Coturnix japonica: one gene and its partner. The protein of the gene in region 2 purifies or fractionates together with the protein of the main gene of each other region. This does not show direct contact. Links are inferred from orthologs where the notes say so. Each region holds a gene or a part of one and is shown on either strand. Other genes may lie near its edges.

Region 1 (4,270 bases), on a different chromosome or scaffold from region 2:
ATTCCATGCAGTCTCCTCATGCTGCATAGAAGTGCTTCCTTTATGTTTGCTCTCTGCTGGGTGAGCATCAGTGAGGGTTCCCACTCTGAATAACCACAATTCTTATGACTTGGCCACTGCGGGAGGACCCCAGCGTGTGGATGCTCTGCAGCACTGCAGTGACAGCCACCTCCTCCTTTCAAGGTGTCACAGGGCTTATGTTGTGCTGTTCTCTTTGGGGAGGGTGATGGGGAGCACTTTGAAAAGGATTTTGCAGTGGGATGAGAGCTTTGGCTGCTGGAAGGGTTTTGTGGGATACATTCTGCAGCTTTATCCAGGTGGGCCTCTGTTAATTGGAGTTTACTGGGGAGAACTCATAACAACTTTGATGCGCCCCAGCAGGCTGAATCCTACATGAAGAGCTGTTGTACGTCTCTCCTCAGCCCCTCCTGTGTGTAGGCCTTTATTCTGCTGCTGCAAAGGGCTTTGAAGGAGCTGCTCTACTTGGCAGTGATGTTCATTCTTCTGAGGCTTCGTTTCTTTAAGAGCAAAGATGGAGGGGAGAAAAAGTCCTGTCACCAGCTTCTGAATCTCCTCATTAGTTTCCATGCCTTCATTCCTCAAAAGCTGTTGGTGACAATGATTTTACTTGCCTTTGTTTGAGTTCAGGAAGCTGTGGTCCTGCTTCTCCGCCCTGCAGGAGGGCTGCTGCCTTCCCCTTACTGTAGCCTGGACGTCTGGAAGTTTGGCTTTGGTGAGGAGGTGGAAAGGAGAGGACAGAGGAGATGGAGTCTGTGATGATGGTCACACAGAGCACAGGTTGTTTGAGTTCTGTGACCTAACACAGTTGTTCATCCTTGGGCAGTGAGGGCTGAAGGCCAGAAGGTGGTTTGGTGATTCTGTGGTTAAGCAGAGGGTTTTTTCCTCATGTCAGAGATTGGATCCCACCACTTTGCGTCCTTCCTTTCCCAGCAGGTTGAGGAGCTCACTGGGTGGTACATCGGAATAACACTTACTTGTGCTTTTGTTTTTACCTTGGCTGGAAAGAATCACCAGAACAGGGTCTAGAGAGGAAAAACACTTCATCACTCTGAGACGACTTTTATGCTTCTTTTTAAACACTATTTTTATAAAGCTCCCTTTAGCTCAGCAGGCAGCTGCATGTGGGCATTCAGGCTGTGCTCGGGGCGAAGCTCAACCTTCCTCAGGGCATTTGGGGCCTGAGCTGTGCTGGCTCCATTGCCCCATGTATGCAGTGATCAGTGCGAGTCCTGCAGCGCTGCCTGCTCAACTTCTGCTCTTTCCTTTTGTACTTTAACCCCTTATTATGAGACCCTCCGCGTCTCTGATTTAACGCTGTTGTTGAGTTGTCCAAATAAAATGGTTTCTTTGCACACTGCTACAGGCTGTGCTTCCCTAGGAGCCCTTTAAGGGGCGATGGTCTGTGCCGGAAGAGAGCGGCTCTGCAGCAGGAAGCGGCCGTGTTTGGGGCCGGGCTGGTTTAGGGCCGGGCTGTGCTTGGGGCTGTGTTTGGGGCTGTGTTTGGGGCCGGTCTGTATTTGGGGCCGGTCTGTGTTTGGGGCCGTGTTTAGGGCCGTTCTGTGCTCGGTGCCATGCTGTGGGGCCGCTGGCTGCTGCCCGGTGCGTCCCTGGCCGTGGGCGCAGGGCTGGGTGCAGCACTGTCCGCCCGCTGGCAGCGCGGTGCTGCGGACACGGAGGTGCCGGGGCTGCTGTGCCGCCTGCCCGTGGTGCCGGTGGTGTCGGCGGACTCGAGCGCTCCAGCCCCTATAGAACCGGCACGGACCGAGCTGACCAAGTACGGGCTGCCCGGGTTGGCGCAGCTGCGGAGCCGCGAGTCCTACGTGCTGTGCTACGACCCGCGGAGCCGCAGCGCGCTGTGGGTCATCGAGCAGCTCAACAAGGAGACGCTGAGCGGAACCTCGGATCGATCCAGCTGCGACTTCCAGGAGGACGATTCGGTGCACGAGTATCACCGAGCCACCAACGCCGACTATCGGGGCAGCGGGTTCGACCGCGGCCACCTGGCTGCTGCCGCCAACCACAAGTGGAGCCAGAAGGCCATGAGGGACACCTTCTATCTCAGTAATGTCGCTCCCCAGGTAGGGCTCACAGCACTCATGGTGTGGCTTATGGGTTCTGTTCCTCCACATGCAAACCATGGCTCCAGGGTGGGGGTCAGCTCATCTCACAGCACCTTCAGTGCTCTGGGAGTGTTACAGATGTGTTAGAATAGCCCTGAGCAATAAGGAAGTGTCCATGTCACCATCTTTGTGTTTGTAGGTGCCTCATTTAAACCAAAATGCCTGGAATAACCTTGAGAAATACAGCAGGAGCTTGGCGAGAAACAACAAGAACGTCTATGTCTGCACAGGACCTCTGTACCTGCCCAGGTAAACACCAGGAGCCAGGTGGGACCACAATGAGGATGTTGTGCTGGGAAGGTAAAACAGGCTGAGGGCTGCAGCTGCCCCAAACCAGGAGTGAACAGCCCAGACCCCCAGTGAGAGCAGCAGGCTGCAGGGTTTCTGCAGGAGGGTATTTTCTTAGCATTGCGATTATTTTCAGTGTTTCTTATTCAGTCAGTTATTTGGGGAGTACAAAGGGTGTGTTTCCTGAGATGCAAAACAGTCCAGTCACTTTGGTTTACAGTTTTTAGTCTAAGCAGTGTTGGATTAGTAGGGCATTGAATGAACAGATTAAACTGCACACCTCCCTGCGGAATAAAGCTCCTGGGTTTCATTTCATGGACTGTTTGTCCACTTAGAGCATGACTTTACCTGCAATGATATTTATGTGGGAGCATGAAGAGCAGTTTGATAAGCTGAGTTCTCTGAACAGCCTTTTCTTACCTCCTAATGTAAAAGGGGAGATGGTGAAGGAGGGGTCTGGGAGGAGCAGAACCAATGTAAGCTCACCTTCCCCATGTCCCCCAGCCTCTGTACAGCAATATTTGTTACATCTGCACTACAGATGTCATGCTGAGGTGGGGGCTTGCAGAAGGGTAGTGTTAAAGAGCTGAGTAGGGTGGAAGTGACATCAGCATAGGAGGTAACGTTGGATGTTGCTCTTGGTGCAGGATGGAGGCTGATGGGAAGATGTACGTCAAGTACCAGGTGATTGGGAAGAACAACGTGGCCGTCCCCACCCATTTCTTCAAGGTGCTCATCCTGGAAAAGGAGAGTGGAGAAATTGAGTTGCGCTCCTATGTGATGCCCAACAGCCCCGTGGATGAGAAAATCCCACTTGAACGTTTCCTGGTTCCCATTGAGAGCATTGAGCGAGCCTCAGGGCTGCTCTTTGTCCCAAACATCTTGAAGAGAACAAGCAGCTTGAAAGCCATCACAGCTGGAAACAAGCGATGAACTGTGACCAACCAGATCCAGGTAGCAGTGGGGGCCCACGGAATGTTCCCTTGTGTATTTTAAGGTGTGAGAAATAAGAGAGGGGTGTTTCTCTCGACCCCTTCCCCAGTTTCATTAACAGTGAAACACAGTGAAGCGTGTCCTAAGGACAGGCTGTAGGGAAGGCTTCGGAGTCCTTGATGGGTCCTTGTGCTCTGCACTTTGCCCCTAAGCTGCAGTACTGTGGGTGTTACTGTAATCACTCCCTTTGTGCGTGGCACATTATGACACATAGGGGCATTAATTTCTGTACTTAGAGGGAAGGATGGGAGCAAGCCGGGTACTGTGAGAGGAATGAAAGGTCCTTCCATTTCTGCTTATAATTTTCACGAAATGGTTTTAGCAGTAAAGCTTTGAAAGCACCAAGGATTGGTCATTTTCTTATCTGCTCTTACCAAAGCCTTTGAATGTCCTTCCCCCTTCCTGTCAAGATAAAGGCAGCTCCAGCCCTTCCTGCCTTGGGAAGGATGAAGCCTTGGAGTTGAGGGGATCTGGGGAGTCAGACTAACAGTGTGACAGGAACACGTGCTTGACACAAGGATTAAATTATTACTTTTGAAGCTTGAGGGCTGCATTGCTGCAGGGGCACTGAGAATGTGAGCTCCCTGGATGCAGTCAGCTACCTGGATGCTGACTGCTCGCCTTCCACACAAAACATGGGGAGTTTGAAGGAAGCAGAGGTTTGGTACTGTTTTATTCTCTACCGAAGGCATCTGAATAGCTGACAGTCAGTTTGCTGACCAGCTTTTAGCTGGATGTTGCAGCTGAATGGTCCAGAGATGCTGGAGACTTGGTTGAGCAGCGCTGCCAACTTTAGTCACTTTGTGTCTTCAGCTTCCCCAGGGCTGGTTCCTGGAGTGATTCTCTGT
Region 2 (4,319 bases):
ATGCTTGCTAGCACAGTTTGTCAGAAAAGCTGCACTACTCCCAAGATTTGTCCATCCAACTTCTGGAAATCCCCAGGGGAAAAGTATTTGTCACACTCAACACACTGCATTCTCCCACCACCGTGAGGGTTCATATATTAAATTACATTTTGCCAGGCAAATATCAGCTATGCTGAGCAGTACTGTAGGGGTTGCATTGCAAACAGTTCCAAGCATTACAGGCTTAGCACCATCTTTGCACCCAATTACTGTAGCAGACCTGGTTCCCCTTCACACTGAAACACAGTAGAAGTGATCGGAGTCTGCATAGTTTCCCGACACACAGAAAACTCATTGCGAAAGCTGAACCAAGTGACATGTTTACCTGATCACAACTTGCACTTACAGAACAGCACCAGATAAAAATAATTCACTACTTACAATATTGCACATTTCTCCATTTGTTATTCACTATGCACACAAAAAATTAACATAGCGCAAACATTCCCTAAACACAGGTCTACTGTTGAAGACGGTAAAAGTCTAGTCCATTGTTTTCAAGGGTGCCACTCACCAAGCTGACACTACGCATTTGTTAATGTTTAAGAACTACAAAGGCAGCGTCAGTACAACCAAGGTTAACCCTGCATCTTACCAAGTCACCTCACCTTTGTCAATGTGCACTTCTAGTATTTTCTTCTCCCTAACAATTTTCCTGCCGTTGCAGCTCTTGCAGCGGTCCTTGGGGCTGATGCGCTCTCCATGCCCCTGGCACTCCATACACACAGACTGGATTTGCTGCACCATGCCCGGCCCAATCTGGTGAATTCTGATTTGCATGCCTGTCCCTCTGCAGTTCGGGCAGCATTCTACTGCACCCTTCTTACCACCACGACCTGGAGAGAAAAATCAGAGATGGGTAACAGAGATCTCTCATTGCTTCTGGCAATGCATAAGTTAATTCTGCATCTCCAGAGAGAAGGAATTATAGTCAACATTTCACAGTTACCTTCACATTTGTCACATATAACATTCTTCTGCAGTGCAAGTTTTCTTGTTGCACCATTGTACATATCTTCTAAACTCACTGATAACTGATGGACCACATTTTTGCCTGTGAAAGAAAACATTTACTTTAGTTTGCAAATGGACTCAAAGTAACAGTACAATTTCCATATCATGCTAAAACAAGCTTCTGTAGCCTTTAACATCTTGTTTCACAGTTCTCTCACTACTTGTATTAGTCAGTTTCCCAGTTGTACTGTAGTTAGGTAAGGGTTCTAAAGGCATTAACACCTCTCTATTAGAAGAAATCTGACTCACGTCTGAGGGAACACACAATAGATGTAACAGAAGTGTGAAACACTACATTTTACTTCCAGATTCAAAACTTCTGCTTTAACTGAAGTTCTTCTACAAGGAAGTGGGAGGCACAACCTAAAGCCAGTTAGGCTTTTTCTGTCTCTCATGAAGGGACTTCTGGAAACTAATCTGAGTAACTACACTTCTACAATCAGGAATTCATTAGAATTTTAGGAACAAGGGAACCAGTTCAGGGAAGTACAGCAAGTTCTATCTTACTAAGAATACTCTGATACAGCCTTTTAAATTCCCTTTGTCCCACTAGGAAGAGAAGTGCTGTGGCCAGTGCTGCTTTTAAGCAGTTTAATTAACATCAGCCTTCCCTTATGCTACCTCTAGATTTTAACTTTTGAGCAGAACATTACTGCAGCTGCACTCAATCCAGTTCAACTAAATATCACAAGAAGGCTTCAGAGTCAAAGTAACTTGGTTATCTTATTTAGATAAAGCCACAGAATCACAGAATGACCCGGGTTGGAAGGGACCTCAAGGATCATGTAGTTCCAACCCCCTGCCTGGCAGGGCCACCAAACACACACATTTACTAGATCAGGTTGCCCAGGGCCCCGTCCAACCTGGGGCCACTTACAATGTAAGATCAACTTCCATTTTGATATCGTGGCACCTTACTTAGCACTTACTTTAAGGCTTGTTACTCCTGCGTTTCCTACTCAGTAACAAAAGCTAGGCAACCATTCAGCCAAAGCTTTCCAAGCACAAAGCCCGGTTAGAGACCAACACAAAGCACGGCTTCAAACATTGCACTATGCAACTACCCTCCCCTTGTTTGCTTCGCGCGTTAAGGGACGGCACTTCGGCCGCTTGCACAGATCGGATCCTTAAGGTAAGGAAGCTCACTAAGCCGCACCCCCCACTCAGCTCATTAACCACGGCCTTCAGCGCTACATCTCGCGTTCCCTGAGCAGCCCTCCACCCCCAGGCTGCCTACGGGAACATCCTAAGAACAGCAGAACTGCTCTGCGGGCCCGGGATGGGGTCAGAAGCCGCTCATACCTCTCCTCTCCCTCTGCATCCTCCCACCGCCGCCGAAGAACATGTCGAAAATATCCATGGGGGACCCGAAGCCGCCTCCCGATCCGCCCTCCTTGATGGCCTGCTCGCCGCCCTTGTTGTACAGGTCCCTCTTCTTGGGGTCGGACAGCACCTCATAGGCCTGTGAGATCTGTTTGAACTGCGGGATGGACACACACACACCTCAGACACCCCGCGGTCCCGCCGCTCCCGGCCCTCATTCCCTGCCGCCCCTCACCCACCTTCTCTCCCTCATTGGGGTTCTTATCGGGGTGGTACTTCAGGGCCAGCTTGCGGTACGCCTTCTTCAGCTCCTCAGCCGAGGCGTTGGGGCTGACGCCCAGCACATCGTAGTACCTGGTCTCCTTCACCATGTTGGGCCCTCACTGCCCGCTCTGCCCACACAGCCCCGCTCCGCTCCCGACTCTTCTGGAAAGTTCGGAGCCGGGCCGTATCCGGCGCTTTTGAGACGGCGCCGCCCCGCCCCGGAAGTCAGCTTCAAGAGAGGAACAACCAATAGGAGAAGGAGGCGGAGCGCGCTAAGCCAATCAGCGCCTTCAGCCTCAGCGAGGCCCCGCCCACTCAGGCAGAAGGACTCGAGACGGGAGCGCGCATGCGTCCTTGGCGGAGGTTGTGCGGGGTCGTGCGCGGTGTAGGCCGCGTTGCCATGGTGCGGCCCGCGATGGCGGGCGGCGCGGCCCGGTAACGCGGTGTGTGCTCGGCTCCACAGCGCGGCCATGAGGGACTGCTGGCTGCTGGCCATGGAGGAGCGAGGCCTACGGGTGCTGCTGCCCCACATGGCCGACGTGGTGCTGGGCCGCGGGCCGCTCACAGGCATCACCGACAGGAGGTGCTCGCGGCGGCAAGGTAAGGCCGCGCCTCCCGGCTGCTGCAGCGAGCATAAGGGGGGGGGGGAGTGCTGTCATGTCAGCTTCATCCTTGTGTGTTGTTGCTTAGGACGTGGGTGATGAGGCAGAGCTCTTCTCTCTGCCGCAAGGCTGAGGGTGCACGAGTGTTTTCCCCAAGGGCTGGGTGGGTGGATTTCAGGCCTTTCTTTTCACGGCTTTTCATGACTTTTTGTTCTTTCAGTTGTGTTGAAAGCAGACTGTAACGAGGGATATGTTACTGTTAAGCAGGTATGTTTTTAAGCGGTTTCTTAGTGTTTCTAATGCTTACTGGCCTGTTATGCTTGAAGTCCACTAATACTGCGAATTACAGATCTCATCCTAGATTATGAAGTCCTGGAGCTATTTTGTGGCCATCAGGAGTTCATCAGATGGTCACAGAATCACAGAATGACCCGGGTTGGAAGGGACCTCAAGGATCATGTAGTTCCAACCCCCTGCCTGGCAGGGCCACCAAACATACACCTTTACTAGATCAGGTTGCCCAGGGCCCCGTCCAACCTGGTCTTGAACACCTCCAAGGACGGCGGCATCCACAAACCTCCCTGGGCAGCCTGTTCCAGGGCCTAACCACTCTCCTAGTGAAGAACTTCCCCCTAACATCCAACCTAAATCTTCCCTCTTTTAACTTATAACCATTTCCCCGTGTCCTGCTATTGTCAGCCCTTTCAAAGAGTTTACTCCCCTCCTGGGTGTGGGTTCCCTTCAGGTACTGAAAGGCTGCAATGAGGTCACCCTGCAACCTTCTCTTCTCTAGGCTGAACAAACCCAATTCCCTCAGCCTGTCCTCATAGGGGAGATGCTCCAGCCCCCTGATCATCTTCGTCAGAAAGTCCTCAGAAAGGGTCTGTTTTCCATTTGTACCTCAATGCAGGAGCGCACAGCTGTATTGCTGTCCTGCAATGTGACATGTGCTTTGTTTGACTGAAACTGGCACTGTAGGATGAGGAGGCTTTGGCTAGGATTGGGCAGTCACTCCATCAGATTGAAGATGAGGTGATGAGAAGCATAGTGATGTCTTGTGAAACAAGCATGTTTATG

What was found. The genes of interacting proteins can lie anywhere in the genome.
Region 1: the proteins of DNAJA1 (region 2) and ENDOG purify together in Homo sapiens (affinity purification with mass spectrometry; 3 studies listed by BioGRID and IntAct, counting the BioPlex papers as one, with this or other methods). This does not show direct contact. The link is inferred for Coturnix japonica from reciprocal best matches to the Homo sapiens genes DNAJA1 and ENDOG.

Annotation. Positions count from the first base shown.
Region 1 is NC_029532.1:3,987,261-3,991,530, forward strand, and holds ENDOG (endonuclease G, mitochondrial), read left to right. Parts: upstream 1-1,480; 5' UTR 1,481-1,592; coding exon 1,593-2,099; intron 2,100-2,280; coding exon 2,281-2,390; intron 2,391-3,076; coding exon 3,077-3,362; 3' UTR 3,363-3,767; downstream 3,768-4,270. UniProt on the Homo sapiens protein: Endonuclease that preferentially catalyzes the cleavage of double-stranded 5-hydroxymethylcytosine (5hmC)-modified DNA.
Region 2 is NC_029547.1:62,426,495-62,430,813, reverse strand, and holds the start of DNAJA1 (dnaJ homolog subfamily A member 1), read right to left. Parts: upstream 2,837-4,319; 5' UTR 2,748-2,836; coding exon 2,616-2,747; intron 2,534-2,615; coding exon 2,356-2,533; intron 1,094-2,355; coding exon 989-1,093; intron 876-988; coding exon 648-875; intron 1-647. Other genes in the region: APTX (aprataxin), read left to right, coding at 3,111-3,240, 3,463-3,509.